Oryzias latipes: one gene and its partners. The protein of the gene in region 1 purifies or fractionates together with the protein of each later gene. This does not show direct contact. Links are inferred from orthologs where the notes say so. Each region holds a gene or a part of one and is shown on either strand. Other genes may lie near its edges.

Region 1 (4,231 bases):
TTCATGGGAGGCGAGCTTCTAACAAAAAGGCTTCATCCATAAATAGATTTATTTGATTTGCTAAATAATTACAAGCTGTCATAAGATTGTTTTAGCACATTTAAAGTAACAATTTATTGCGATTTTCGCTGTCTTTTGCTATATGCGGATTGCACAGCTTGATATCGCGATAACGAGAAATTTGCCATTTATCGTGAAGGCCTAGATGGAACAGTCAACAGTATCCTTTAGTGGGATTGGTCTTTAAATCACAAAAATAAACAACTGTAGCCAAATCACTGCCTTAGTGAAAAACATTTTTTCATCGAAAGTCTTTTAGATAAACAGACTTCAACATAAACCCACTAGGGTTCAATCCAAATTCTTCCCCTACCCCTCCAGCTTCTCTCTTTCCCTCCAATTGTAGGGGCATTTGGGGGTAGGGGTGTTAGTTTTTGGAATGGAAAACCTTCACTGCGCGGAGGGATACGGAGCCCTCCAACGCAAAGGTGTTCCGCATGTTCTGTGCCGCAAAAGAGAAACGTATCTCTGCAAGTGGGTGTGCCTTGAAGCACAGAAGTTTACACGTAAATGTAAGTAAATACTTTTTGTTTTAGCATGGCTTTTTAATGTTCTAAAACCCACGTTATTTACTTCTGATCGCCACCCGCTAACGTGGCTGACCGACGACGATTGATGACCTCATCGAGTCAGAGTGACGTCTAAATGACTATTTTTATATGACACTCCATTTGGAGGGCTAACTGTAGGTGTAGGGAGAAGTAGAAGTGGGGGAAGAACTTGGATTTGGTCTAGGTATTGTAAATATGAAGTCTGAACATCTAGGACACTTTTAAAACCCTAAAAGAACTGCAGAAATGTAAACTCTTTCTCTTAGTCTGTTTCAACACAACAAACATCTTTAGCATTAATGTTAAACTTCTTGAAAACGGTGACAAAGGTTGCTGCGTACACTACTCCACACTAAAATTTGAATCACCAAACTAGCTAGCTGTACTTCCACGTTCCATTTTAATTTATGTTAGCCCGCCACTAACAGCTCACTTCCCTCATCATTTTTCACTGCCATGTTACTTTCCCCTCAAGTTCCACAATTTGTTTCCACCAAAACATCCCCGCCTAATAGAACTGGACTAAGTGACCCCCCACCCCCACCCCGGATGTCAAATAGGAAGTACCTGCTCGAACGTGTGTAAACCCCGCCTCTAATGATTGAAATGTTTAATTGACAGACTCTCCTGAGCCTGCTTTCAGTGGCAGAGATGTGGACTAAGATAAAAGCTTAATCCTGATTGGCGACAGGAGTTGCCATAGAAGCGTCGACTCCTACAGACGCAGGCTCATCACCGTTTACTTAGGTGGTCTGGCTCCAACATGGGGATGAGTGTACTGCAGATCTAACAGCGACTGATGGATTCATTTTGCTGGAGCTGAAAGTAAGGCGTTTTTTTTTTCTTTCTACGGGTGACGTCAGACTCGCTCAGTCCAGTTCTCTTATACAGACAATGACATCACCACCCACCTTTCCATCAATTAAGAATCAAACGATCTTGATAGATTTATAAATAAGATACTTCTCCATTCCCTGCTAGTTTATAAAAATAAAACATTTTTTGAAGTTTTTCAAGGTTAAGATCTTCAATTTCTAAAAATATTTATCATGCCCTCAAGTAAATTCTGAGTTTACCTCATTTGTAATTGGTTAAAAGTATGAAGACTCCTCTCAAAATTGGGTGCATGTCTTTATTTTAAAAAAATTAATTCAGGTTGGTAGGTAGGTGGGTGGACTTTTAAGTTTACCATGCCCCCCCCCCCCCCCCCTTTTTAAGTTTAACAACTGCAATGTATGAGTAAACTATGTTGCGTGTACTTTAATAGCAAAACATTACCAAGCGTTGTATTATTAACAAGTAGAAGTTCTCGACGGCGGAGTTACACCTAAAACCTGACCAAAAACTCAATGGTTCCGTTAAGTAGAAGTCAAATCAAATGCCAATTTTTAAACGTCAGCAAAGAGAGACGCGACAAATACAAGCGGGTTTTCGGAAATTACCTTTCAGCAAATTTGAATTTAGACTCACATGACGGTAGCAGCCAGATGTTTTCGCAGAGTACGGTTCCTGAGAGGCGGACTTTTTACTTTCAGATTTCCCAGAGGAAATCAATGGATCCCGTCAAAACGAGACGTATTCATAAAAGTTGATAGATTTAATCAATCTGTATATGCCAGTTAACTCCACACAATCAGTAACTAGAGAACTACGACGAGCGTAACACAGTAACTAGTTACTAGTTAGCGTTAGCAGGCGAGGTAGCACAGTTTCATGTAAGCTAACCTTCTGTTAGCGAGCGGGAGGTTTAGCAAATTCAAACATGATAAACTCATAAAAGTCCGCCAGAGCGCTCGAAAAAAATATTTATTAAAAGTCGATTACTTTTAATGGGTTTCTTAAGTTCTATTGAACTGGGCCTGTAGGGGGACGGGGGTTAATGTTAGCCATTGGCGACAAAGCAGCGATGAGTGGCTTTGTTCTACTAGCGGACCGGCTAGCATTGACGCAAAGATGGAGTGATAACTCACCGGGTACCCAGGCCCAGGCATTGGAGATCGGTACATGTGGTTCTGACCAGCCGAAGATGGACCCATTCTTCCAGTGGGAGTCCCGGGTCCCATGCCTGGTCCAGCACCGGGTACAGGTTGTCCAGGTCCAACAGCTCCACCACCACCAGTCGGTGCAGACTGAAACCCCCCTCTGGACGCCATCTCCTCACTAGATGTCGCCTCCGGTGGAGCAAAGGAACTAACGCGAGAGCAACTGAGGCGTTCACTTTGCGATAGCGCCCTCTACTGTTCTCTTTTGACACTGCACGATTGCCCACATTAAGAGACAAAGGATAATTGTGGGGTATGAAGGCGTAATATAGGCTATTTCTTAAAAAAAACATTTAGTATGTTCCTTTATAATATTTTAGTATTTTTCGTGAAGTTTTTTTGTTTTGTTTTTCGTGCTATTTTTTTTAAATACAAGAGCAAAAAACAACAAACAGGCTGGGCAGCTACTCATGAAAACTACAAGAAAAACTATAAAAGTATAGTTCATGTAGTTTAAAATATGTATTAATATATATCAATATATACATGTATATGTATTAATATTATTCATATATAGTTTAAAATATATATTAAAAACACGAAAAAATCTGTCTGGTCTGTAGAAAATAAAACAATTAAAATAAAAAAAGAAAGAACATTTTAATTAGCTGGAGTAATACAGTCCTGACAAGTCCTAACAACCAGCATTCAATTTACATGATTATATGCACAAGAATAAAGTCAACGGGTAGGCCAACCATATTGGAGTAATTTAGGACGCTATTAAATTGTCTTCTTTCTTTTCATGTGAATTCACTAATCTGTTCTATTGCCTTCTATATGTCTTTCATTTATCAAAACAGAATACATTGTTTTTCAATTTTCTCTTATCGAACAAAATAAAACTTAGAGCAAAACAAAATGCCCCAAAACATTATTAACTTTTAAAGAACACATTTAAAAATAAAAGTTTTCATTTTAATTTAGGCTACAGTACAAAATCAATTGGTTCAACAGTGGATTGCTGATATTTTTCATTTTTCATAATATATGACTGTTTTGCAAATGAGAAAATCATTTGATTTTTATTAATGTAACTATTCATATTTTTGTATCATATCCTTTAAAAAAACAATCATGTATGTTTTTAACTAACTTCTATTTGTGTACATATTTGCAGGTTATTTCTGAATGTTTTTAGAAGGTTTTATAAAATAGAAATCTTGATGATGACGTTTTCAGCTACAGGATTGTTTCTTTCCATCATTTTGCTAAGTAACATGTGACACTTTTTGTCTCTACAAGTCCAGAACTTGACTATGTTGAGATAAACACAATATCTGGAGTAGAAAATATTTTCTTTTCAACAACACAACACCTGGTATTTTGTGATGCCTGTTTGTTTGGGCTTTCTGTTTTCTGCTAGTATATACGAGAATCAGAGTAAACCTAATTTCATGGGTCTTTACTTCTTTTGTACTGCAGAAAGAAAAATGACATCAAACAACCTTGTGTAAGGACAACACAAAAAACGATGTGCATTTTTGCTTTTGGGTGAAGTTGTGGAATAACATGGAGGAATGATTAAGAATATTACACAATTAAAATAAATCCAGTTAGAATATGAAAAGCCCATTG
Region 2 (3,977 bases), on another chromosome or scaffold:
CAGGGTCATATTTACGTAGCTCTGGACATGTTAGAAAACATCTTCCCTCAAAATAATCATTTGTGGCCATGAATTTGTATTTTGTGTGCACAAATTAGCATTTTGAAGCCACATTTTGGTAATTCATGGCCACAAATCAGCATTTTCTAAACATTTGTTGTGGGCACAAAGTAGCATTAATAGGAAAAAGGTTAGTACACAAGTTTGAAGGTAGCATTTTGTGTGTACAAATAAGCATTTTATTACTATTTTTTGCACACAAATTAGCATTTGCACAAATGTACAAACTGGCAAATTGTAGTCGGACAGTAGCGTTTTGTGGCCACAAATTAGCCTTCCGTTATAACAACTTAGCATTTTATGAGAACAAATTAGTTTTGTGCAAACAAATTAGCATTTCATTAGCATTTTGTGGGCACGAAAAAGGATTTTATGGGCAATGTATGCATTTGGTTTGCACCAAATTTGTATTTTGTGCATACAAGTTTGCTGTGTACACAAAATTAGTATTTAGTGCACACAAATTAGAATTTTTTGGACACAAATGAGTATTTTGAGCAAACAAATTGGCATTAAATTGGCATTTGGTGGTCACATATTAGCATTCTGTATGAACATGTTCTTATCTTCTCAAAATTCGTATTTTGTGTGCACAAGTTGCAATTTATTAGCATTTTGTGCCCACAAATGAGAATTTGTGGGCATAAACTGCTACTTTGTGTGCACAAATTCGCACTTTGTGGACACAAATAGTATTTTGTCTTCACAATTTGTGGACACAAATTTATATTTTGTGGGCACAAGTTGGTATTTTTACAACACTCGGTGGGCGTAAATGAGTAGGCCTAGTTTGTGTGCGCAAATGAGCATTTATTACACACAAATTAACATTTTGTGTTTACAAAATAACATCATGATGTACGCACATCTACATGCACAAATTGGTGTTGTGTGCACAAATTTCTAATTAGCTAATCCGAGGCCACAAATTATTAATTTGAGGGAACCATTGGTCTTTTTTGTGCCATGTACAGGGCTTCGTACATATTTTATTATTTCCTGAAACGTTCAAAACTATCCCACGCACTTCGAACACACTATAACTTACATTATCGGTACATGACTGAGCACAAAACCTCAAGATTACAGAAAACGAGGAGGTCCAAGTATCGCGAGATTTATCCCTCTGGGAGGATCGGGGCTTGAAGTTTCAGATGCATCGGTAGATGAATCATAACGGGATCAAGATGTCTGGACGATCAGGCCGCGCTGAGACCCGAAGTCGGGCCAAAGACGACATCAAAAAGGTCCTGGCGGCCATCGAGAAAGTGCGCAAATGGTATGTAAACTGCGCGGCGCAAAAAGGGCATGAAAATCGAGACCGCGGCGCGATATCTTGCTGCGTAGCTCAACAAACTTCAGTCGGGAAAGTTGGATGATTGACAAGGCTTTCGACCAACCAGCGCGCCCGTTTGACAGAGGAGGCGGGGCTAGTTGAGTTTTTCCGCCGACAGCTGTCAATATGGCTCCAGCAGCTTCACATGCGGCGGCTTGAGAAGTCGGCGAGCCTCCTGAGAGCTGCATTGCTGTGGAAATCAGACACTAACGCGTTACATTGAATTTCCTCCATTCTGCTGTGCACGGAGAAGTAGAGGGTTTTGATCAGATATTAGCTCCGCTGCACCGGACTATGAAAACACGCGTGACTAATAAATGCGTTCATTTCTCTATTATTATTACGACGCCCTGAAATCTAGCAGCTGCTAGGAGATTTCCCCATGATCCAACGTACATTTCTCCTCAGGGAGAAGAAATGGGTGACGGTTGGAGACACGTCCCTGCGCATATTCAAGTGGGTTCCAGTCACTGAAACGAAACAGGTGTGAGCCTCAGTCAATAAAACACACAGAGACCTGTGTCACGACCTGCATCCTCCTGATGGGTTTCATCCTCTTTCCAGATCTTTCGGACCAAATCTACGGGTGGAGACGTTAGGGGACTGAAGGATGTGGTTCTGGAAAACACCAACTCTTTGCTGGATTTCACAGGTAGCCTGAGGATTCCTAAAGAACATTTTCTTTATCATTCATATCTTGGATCAATTGGGTTTGATTTAACCAGATCAAAGTGATCCTCCATTCCAAGGGTTTCATGATTGTTCCAAACGTCTGCTCTTAGATGACAACAGCAATCAAAGCTTCATGTCAGACGTTTATCAACCAAAAATGGACAACAGCAGCAGCAACTCCAGCTCCCAGCAGGTCAGCCCCCCGCATACCTTCAGCCTCCGAGCGGAGGACTCCCAGCCGCCCATGCTGGGCCAGGAGAGTGTGGATGGTATGTAAATAAAACCATGTCCAGAACTGTCATTAAAATCCTGTTTTTGGTGTTTCTAACATGTTCTTGTTGCATTTTTCTGATGATGGCCATGTATAAACAATTATAGCTTAAAACTGCATTTCTGAGTATTTTTTTATTCAAACTGTGAATCAGGAGCAGATAAAAAAAAAAAAAGTGGTGGAGGATAAAGCTCCCTGCTCTGCTCCATTTCGATGCATCCACAATCATATCCATGTTCGCCTTTGTTCTCCTTGTCCAAGCTGGCTGGATGCTCCAATGTTGCTCACCAGTTTCACCTGTAATGTTTTGTTGGGGTTGTAGGGGGCTGTAAGCTACTGGGAGTGAGTGTAAACAAAGGAGATGATGGGAAATTACTCTGCGCCAGTGGTCCCGCCCACAACTCAGAAGAATTCCTAATGAACTGCTGCTGCTCTGCAGAAACTCTCCTAAGAAACAATACAAGTTTTTTTTTTTGTGTGTGTGGCTAAAAATAGCATAATAATAATTAAAAGACCACTGGGAACACTGAAAATAGATCAGAAGATGACTTTAAATGAATAAAAACAAAATCTCTTCCTAACTTAATGACACAGTGTCTTCTCTCTCTTGATGCAGAACCAGTCCATTTGGGACAGGAAGGTGCAGATGAGCCACCTACTCTTATTAAAGAGGACCCTCTCTCATCTGGAGCCATCAAACGGGGAGCTTCAGATATACAGGTTTCTCTTCGACAGCTTCCAAGACAAACTCAAGCACATCTTCATGAAATACAGTGGTCCCCTTAGTATATTGCGCTTGGAATAAAAGAGTGTAATTCTGCGTGTTGTTCTTTCTAACAGCGTATCGTGTTCTGCCCCCTCATTGGCTCTTGACAACGGTCAATCAATCTCCTCCATGCACTATCTCCTAAGCAGTCTGTTTGAAAAATGGGCACAAATCTTCAATTGTGATCAGATGTTTGCTTTCCGTCTATGATCCTTTACATACTTTTCTGGGAAGGTTTGAACTTTGAGAGTTTAAGCAAGAGAAAAAAACTGGGAAAATGTTCATTTCTGTCTGAGAAAATAGTATAAAGTGTAAAATAAAGATAAAGTCCCACTATCTGTCACACACCTAGGTGTGGGAAATTTGTTTTCCGCATTTGACCCATCCCCTGGGGGAGCGGTGAGCTGCCGACGAGCCGCGCTCGGGTGGTCCAAGCCAACCCCTTAATGTTGAGTGTCAAGCAGGGAGGCATTGGGTCCCATTTTTAAAGTCTTTGGTATAGTAAAGTGGTATAGTAGGCATTCCAGCCTTGAAACATCTGTAATGCTACTCTGTGGATTTCATCTATCGCAGCGATAAACGAGGGGACACTGTATCCCATTTCACGTCGAGTTAGTTATGTCCTGATAAGTTTTGAGGTGTAAATAGAAGCTGACATGTCTAACTTGTACTCTTGTCCAGCAGGAGGACCTACCGGTAGATGAATCGGGGGCACCGCCTTTGAAGAGGATTTGCAAAGGGGAAAATGCAGCGCTGAGATAGCTTTTGTACCACCTTTTTGTCCGTAATGCATAAGAAACCTGCTTGGATGTTGGGAAATTAACAACATTTTCAGAATTATGATGGGTTTCTTTTTACATGTTTATGCAAGT
Region 3 (4,055 bases), on another chromosome or scaffold:
CTCTCTCTGAGGTCTCTGACGAGGGCGTGGTCTTACCTGTGGGTCAGAGGTCACAGCTTGGATCAAACTGCAGTCCCTTTTGTGGTGCTTTACTGACACCCTGTGGTGAAATGAAGGAACTGCAACTTGTAACGAGATGTAAAGGTTCTCCGTCACATTGAAGCCCATCAGGACAACTATTGTTGTAATTTTAGGGTTTATAAATTGAATTGGTCGTATTTAAGGAATTCTGTGACAAATTGGGATAAAGGTTTGTCTTTTATTCCGTCAAAGTATTGGATTCGTTCAGTTTTGCTTCAATTAAATCTTAATTGGTCTTTCTGAAGATCGGCCATGATGAGGGCGCCGTTTTCACAACGCATCAGGGCGGGGCTTCACACAGAGCCTTTCTGATTGGCTCAGACTGTCTGACTTCATTTCCTCTCTGTGCTCTCAATCAGAGCCCGTCTGGAAAACACGGTTGACGGTTGAATTCCCTGAGGGCGGCGCTGAGGCTACAGCTGCGCCGAGGGGTCGCTGGCTCCAACCAGCTGCTGTTTGCATTTGACCTCTGACCTCTCTTGCTGTCCGGGCTCTGCTCGCTCTTGGTCTCGCTGTTCTCACGGAGCGTGGCGGCGTTGTTCTCGGGGGCGGGGCTTGTGCTACAGCTGTTTTCCTGCTTCACTGGGGACGAGTCTGCGATGGAGCTCTGGTTGCTGTTGTCGTCTGAAGGAGAAGCACGCTCAGCCTTTATTTACATTCATCAGAGAACGACCTGTTGTCATGTCCAGCTGTGACCTCAGGTGGGGGGGTGGGGCCTCACCGTGCATGTCCATCATCCCCGGAGACGAGCTGTTCTCCGGGGTCGTCACCTCTGAGCCGTACTTCTCATCTTTGCCCTTTTTCTTGTTTTTGTTTTTCTGAAAACGGAAAATAAGAATCATCCATTTTGAAGAGAAACCCCGGCTGACAGGTGTCAGAGGCGGACTCACGTCCTCAGATTTGGGCTCCGTCACCGGGACCCACTTGTAGATGCGGAGGGACGTGTCTCCCACCGTCACCCACTTCTTCTCCCTGAAGAGAGGAAACCATCAGGACAGGAAGCATCTCTGACTTTAAGGGGAAAACCTCATCATCCTGACAGAAGCGCCTTTCATTAAAAAACCAAAAATCACATCAAAAGAAGATTTTTTCCCCTTAATTATATCAATAATAAATCCTTTAAATATATATGTTAAAAGGGATTTATGTGAAAAATGCTATTTTCTCCTCTTTAAAAATCTTATTTTAAGATTTCAAACTGATTTTATTACTTTTATATTTTACAAAATACATTAATTATATTATTGATTAGTTACCGATCAGATGTATATATACAAAAATCTTAAACAGCTTTATTATTCATAAATGAATATGAAGTGTGTGTTGGAAAAAAATATTTTTCTATAATTTATAAAAACCAACAAAAAAGTTATAAAAATAATGTCACTAAATGATCAATATATTGATTATTGATCAGTATGATTCGATTATTTCCCTTGTTTTTCTAAATCACTACTTAAACCTTTAAAAAAGCTACATTTAGGTGTTAAGGTAAAATCCCTCTATCTAAATAAACAATTTTGGTATTAAAATTTCTCATATATAAGAAAAAAATGTAAACTGAAACAAATGTTTAATCCTTAAACTGATGTTAATAAAACTAAACAGAAGTTAAAATGTGTTTTAAAAATATTTTTTATTAGGAATGAATTGTTGCAATTTACAAACAAAATGTTTAACTTTTTTTAAATTTGGGGGAATAACTGACTGAAACTGTTTTGTTTACCCGCCTAAAGTTTCTGGTTCCGGTTTGTTTATTCCGTTTTATTTTCTTAACTTTAATCGAAAAAAATAAACTTCTGACTTTGACCTGGAGACGTTTGATTAATCCACCCAGACAGGCAGAAATTGAAAAAAATACCGCCCCCCGGCGGGGTCACGCGGCTGGATCCACGCTCCTCGTGTCCGGGTGATAACCGTATATGTGCGGCGGAGAAGCTGAAGGCGGTTAAAGGGTGATTTTCCGCGGCGAACCGGTCGCTCGGCGCCGCTGGCTGCGCGTTCAGCCATGCATCTCGGCGGACTTCCCTCTCCCAACCCCCACCGACCGAGCGCTGCTCCGTCGGACCCGAAGGGCGACTCCGAGCGCTGCCTTAAAACTCCTCGCGGGCCGAAGAGCCCGGACTCCGGAGCGTCATCGAACGGTCCCTCCGTCCGCGCCGGGTGTTCGTTTGGCCGGCGCCGCTCCGCTCGCGCTCCCGGCTCCGCAGCGAGCAGCAATGGCTTCATGTGACTGCATCGAAATGGCTTCTTCTGGGTTCAGCCCTAGCCGTTAAAAATCGGCGGAAAAACAGCGGCTATGCGACGAACCGGTTCCCGCCGAAGCCCGCCTCCGACCGGCGAAGACCGGTACGCCGGTGCGGACCGCTGCACCTGAGCCGCGGCGGGATCTGCCGTCCAGAAAACGTCGTTTTCTTTCAATTTCATCCGTCTCCGTCTCGCTTCTTCCCTCTCCTCCCCCAACAAGAGAGCCTTTCTGCTCCCGGGTAACGAAGCGCTCCTTTCCCGGCGTTTACTCACCATTTTCGTACTTTCTCGATGGCGGCCATGACCCTCTTGATGTCATCTTTGGCCCTGCTCCGGGTCTCCGCTCGGACCGACCTGCCCGACATTTCCGCGCTGCTAAAATATTTTTAAAGCTCGCCGGCAGTTCAGACACAATGCAAACAGTAGAGCGCACAGAGAGGCCAGTGCGCCTGCGCGGCTCCGGGGGAAGAGGGGGGGGGCGGCTGCGGCTGCGCGCTGAGCTCAGATCAGATCCTGCTGAGCGGCGGAACAAAGAAGCCGCAGCCGCCTCCGCTCTGCCCCCCAGGTCTGCCCCCAGAGCCGGTACAGGGTGTCCGCCGCGGCAGGAACACAGCTGTTCTGTTTTTACCCACTCACTTGTAAAAAAAATCGCCATAAAAAGAGAAAAAGTTTGACTCTTTGTCATTTTTGTTGGTATTTTACACAAAAAGAACAAAGCAGCTTTACCGCAGAGACATCAAAGGGCCGGAAACACCAACATGGAATTAGAGGGAGGCTTTCTGATTCAAACTAATGGAAGTTCAGAATCAGAAAGCCTTTATTATCATTGTTACACAAGAAACTTGTGACAACGAAATTCTGTTGCTCTTAGATATATGATCCATAAACATCTGAGCTCTTCATGCAGCCACACGGTGTCGTCTGGTCTGTTTACACACTTTCAAATCCAAACCGGTCTCCAGCGAGAGAGAGAAGATACTGCCTAACAGGTATCTACCAAATGTTCGGCTTAGCCGCTCAAATGAATCCAGGGTGTTGTCCACAAACAGATCTTTAAATCTTGTGTTGCCCTTCTTGTGCCACTCCTGAAAACCCCTGTCGTGAAGGGAGGGTATGAAAACACTTTGAGGCCATCACCACCAAAACACCATTTCTGCTAAATGTTTATTATTTTCAATGATTTTTTTTTTGGTAGACTTTTTTTCATTTAACATAATTTAAAATGTGCGGTTGCTATCCACGTTTAGCTTAGCCATGTTGGGTTCTGGTTGAAACTATCATGACTGTCACACTGTGACATATAGTGAAGTTACGCTTGTGACCCGAGGCTGTCAGTACTGACAAAACATGTCCATCATATTTGGACCAACCAGAGTTGCCTCGTTTATCACTGAGGATGCGTTTCATAATTGACCCATGAAAGGGTAAAATACTAAGTTCACACTGGGCAAGCAGGGAGGGGCTTCTTCTTCTTCTTTCCCCACTGTTTACTATATCTGCCACAGTTGGAAGAGGCTGGGTGTGAAATGTCAGTGGTGCAAATCTTGCCCAAGACTTTTTCTTTCACAGCTCCATTCTGATAAATCACAGAATTCCTGCTGGACGTAAACCACAATTATACATTTCTGCAGCTCCATGAGCTTTTTTTCAATGGTTGGCACTTCTGTGAATTCGAGAGGACACCATCCATTCGTCACTACCAAGTCCCTGCTTGGTCAAACTTTGAC

The links.
Region 2: the proteins of smarcd1 (region 1) and bcl7b purify together in Homo sapiens (affinity purification with mass spectrometry; 4 studies listed by BioGRID and IntAct, counting the BioPlex papers as one, with this or other methods). This does not show direct contact. The link is inferred for Oryzias latipes from reciprocal best matches to the Homo sapiens genes SMARCD1 and BCL7B.
Region 3: the proteins of smarcd1 (region 1) and bcl7a purify together in Homo sapiens (affinity purification with mass spectrometry; 5 studies listed by BioGRID and IntAct, counting the BioPlex papers as one, with this or other methods). This does not show direct contact. The link is inferred for Oryzias latipes from reciprocal best matches to the Homo sapiens genes SMARCD1 and BCL7A.

What each region holds. Positions count from the first base shown.
Region 1 is NC_019863.2:13,904,112-13,908,342, forward strand, and holds the start of smarcd1 (SWI/SNF-related matrix-associated actin-dependent regulator of chromatin subfamily D member 1), read right to left. Parts: upstream 2,801-4,231; 5' UTR 2,765-2,800; coding exon 2,582-2,764; intron 1-2,581. UniProt on the Homo sapiens protein: Involved in transcriptional activation and repression of select genes by chromatin remodeling (alteration of DNA-nucleosome topology).
Region 2 is NC_019871.2:22,450,707-22,454,683, forward strand, and holds the start of bcl7b (B-cell CLL/lymphoma 7 protein family member B), read left to right. Parts: upstream 1-1,177; 5' UTR 1,178-1,226; coding exon 1,227-1,339; intron 1,340-1,804; coding exon 1,805-1,880; intron 1,881-1,960; coding exon 1,961-2,048; intron 2,049-2,178; coding exon 2,179-2,337; intron 2,338-2,955; coding exon 2,956-3,059; intron 3,060-3,786; coding exon 3,787-3,867; 3' UTR 3,868-3,977. UniProt on the Homo sapiens protein: Positive regulator of apoptosis. Plays a role in the Wnt signaling pathway, negatively regulating the expression of Wnt signaling components CTNNB1 and HMGA1.
Region 3 is NC_019870.2:1,211,988-1,216,042, forward strand, and holds the start of bcl7a (B-cell CLL/lymphoma 7 protein family member A), read right to left. Parts: upstream 2,801-4,055; 5' UTR 2,694-2,800; coding exon 2,602-2,693; intron 1,054-2,601; coding exon 803-1,053; intron 706-802; coding exon 556-705; intron 37-555; coding exon 1-36.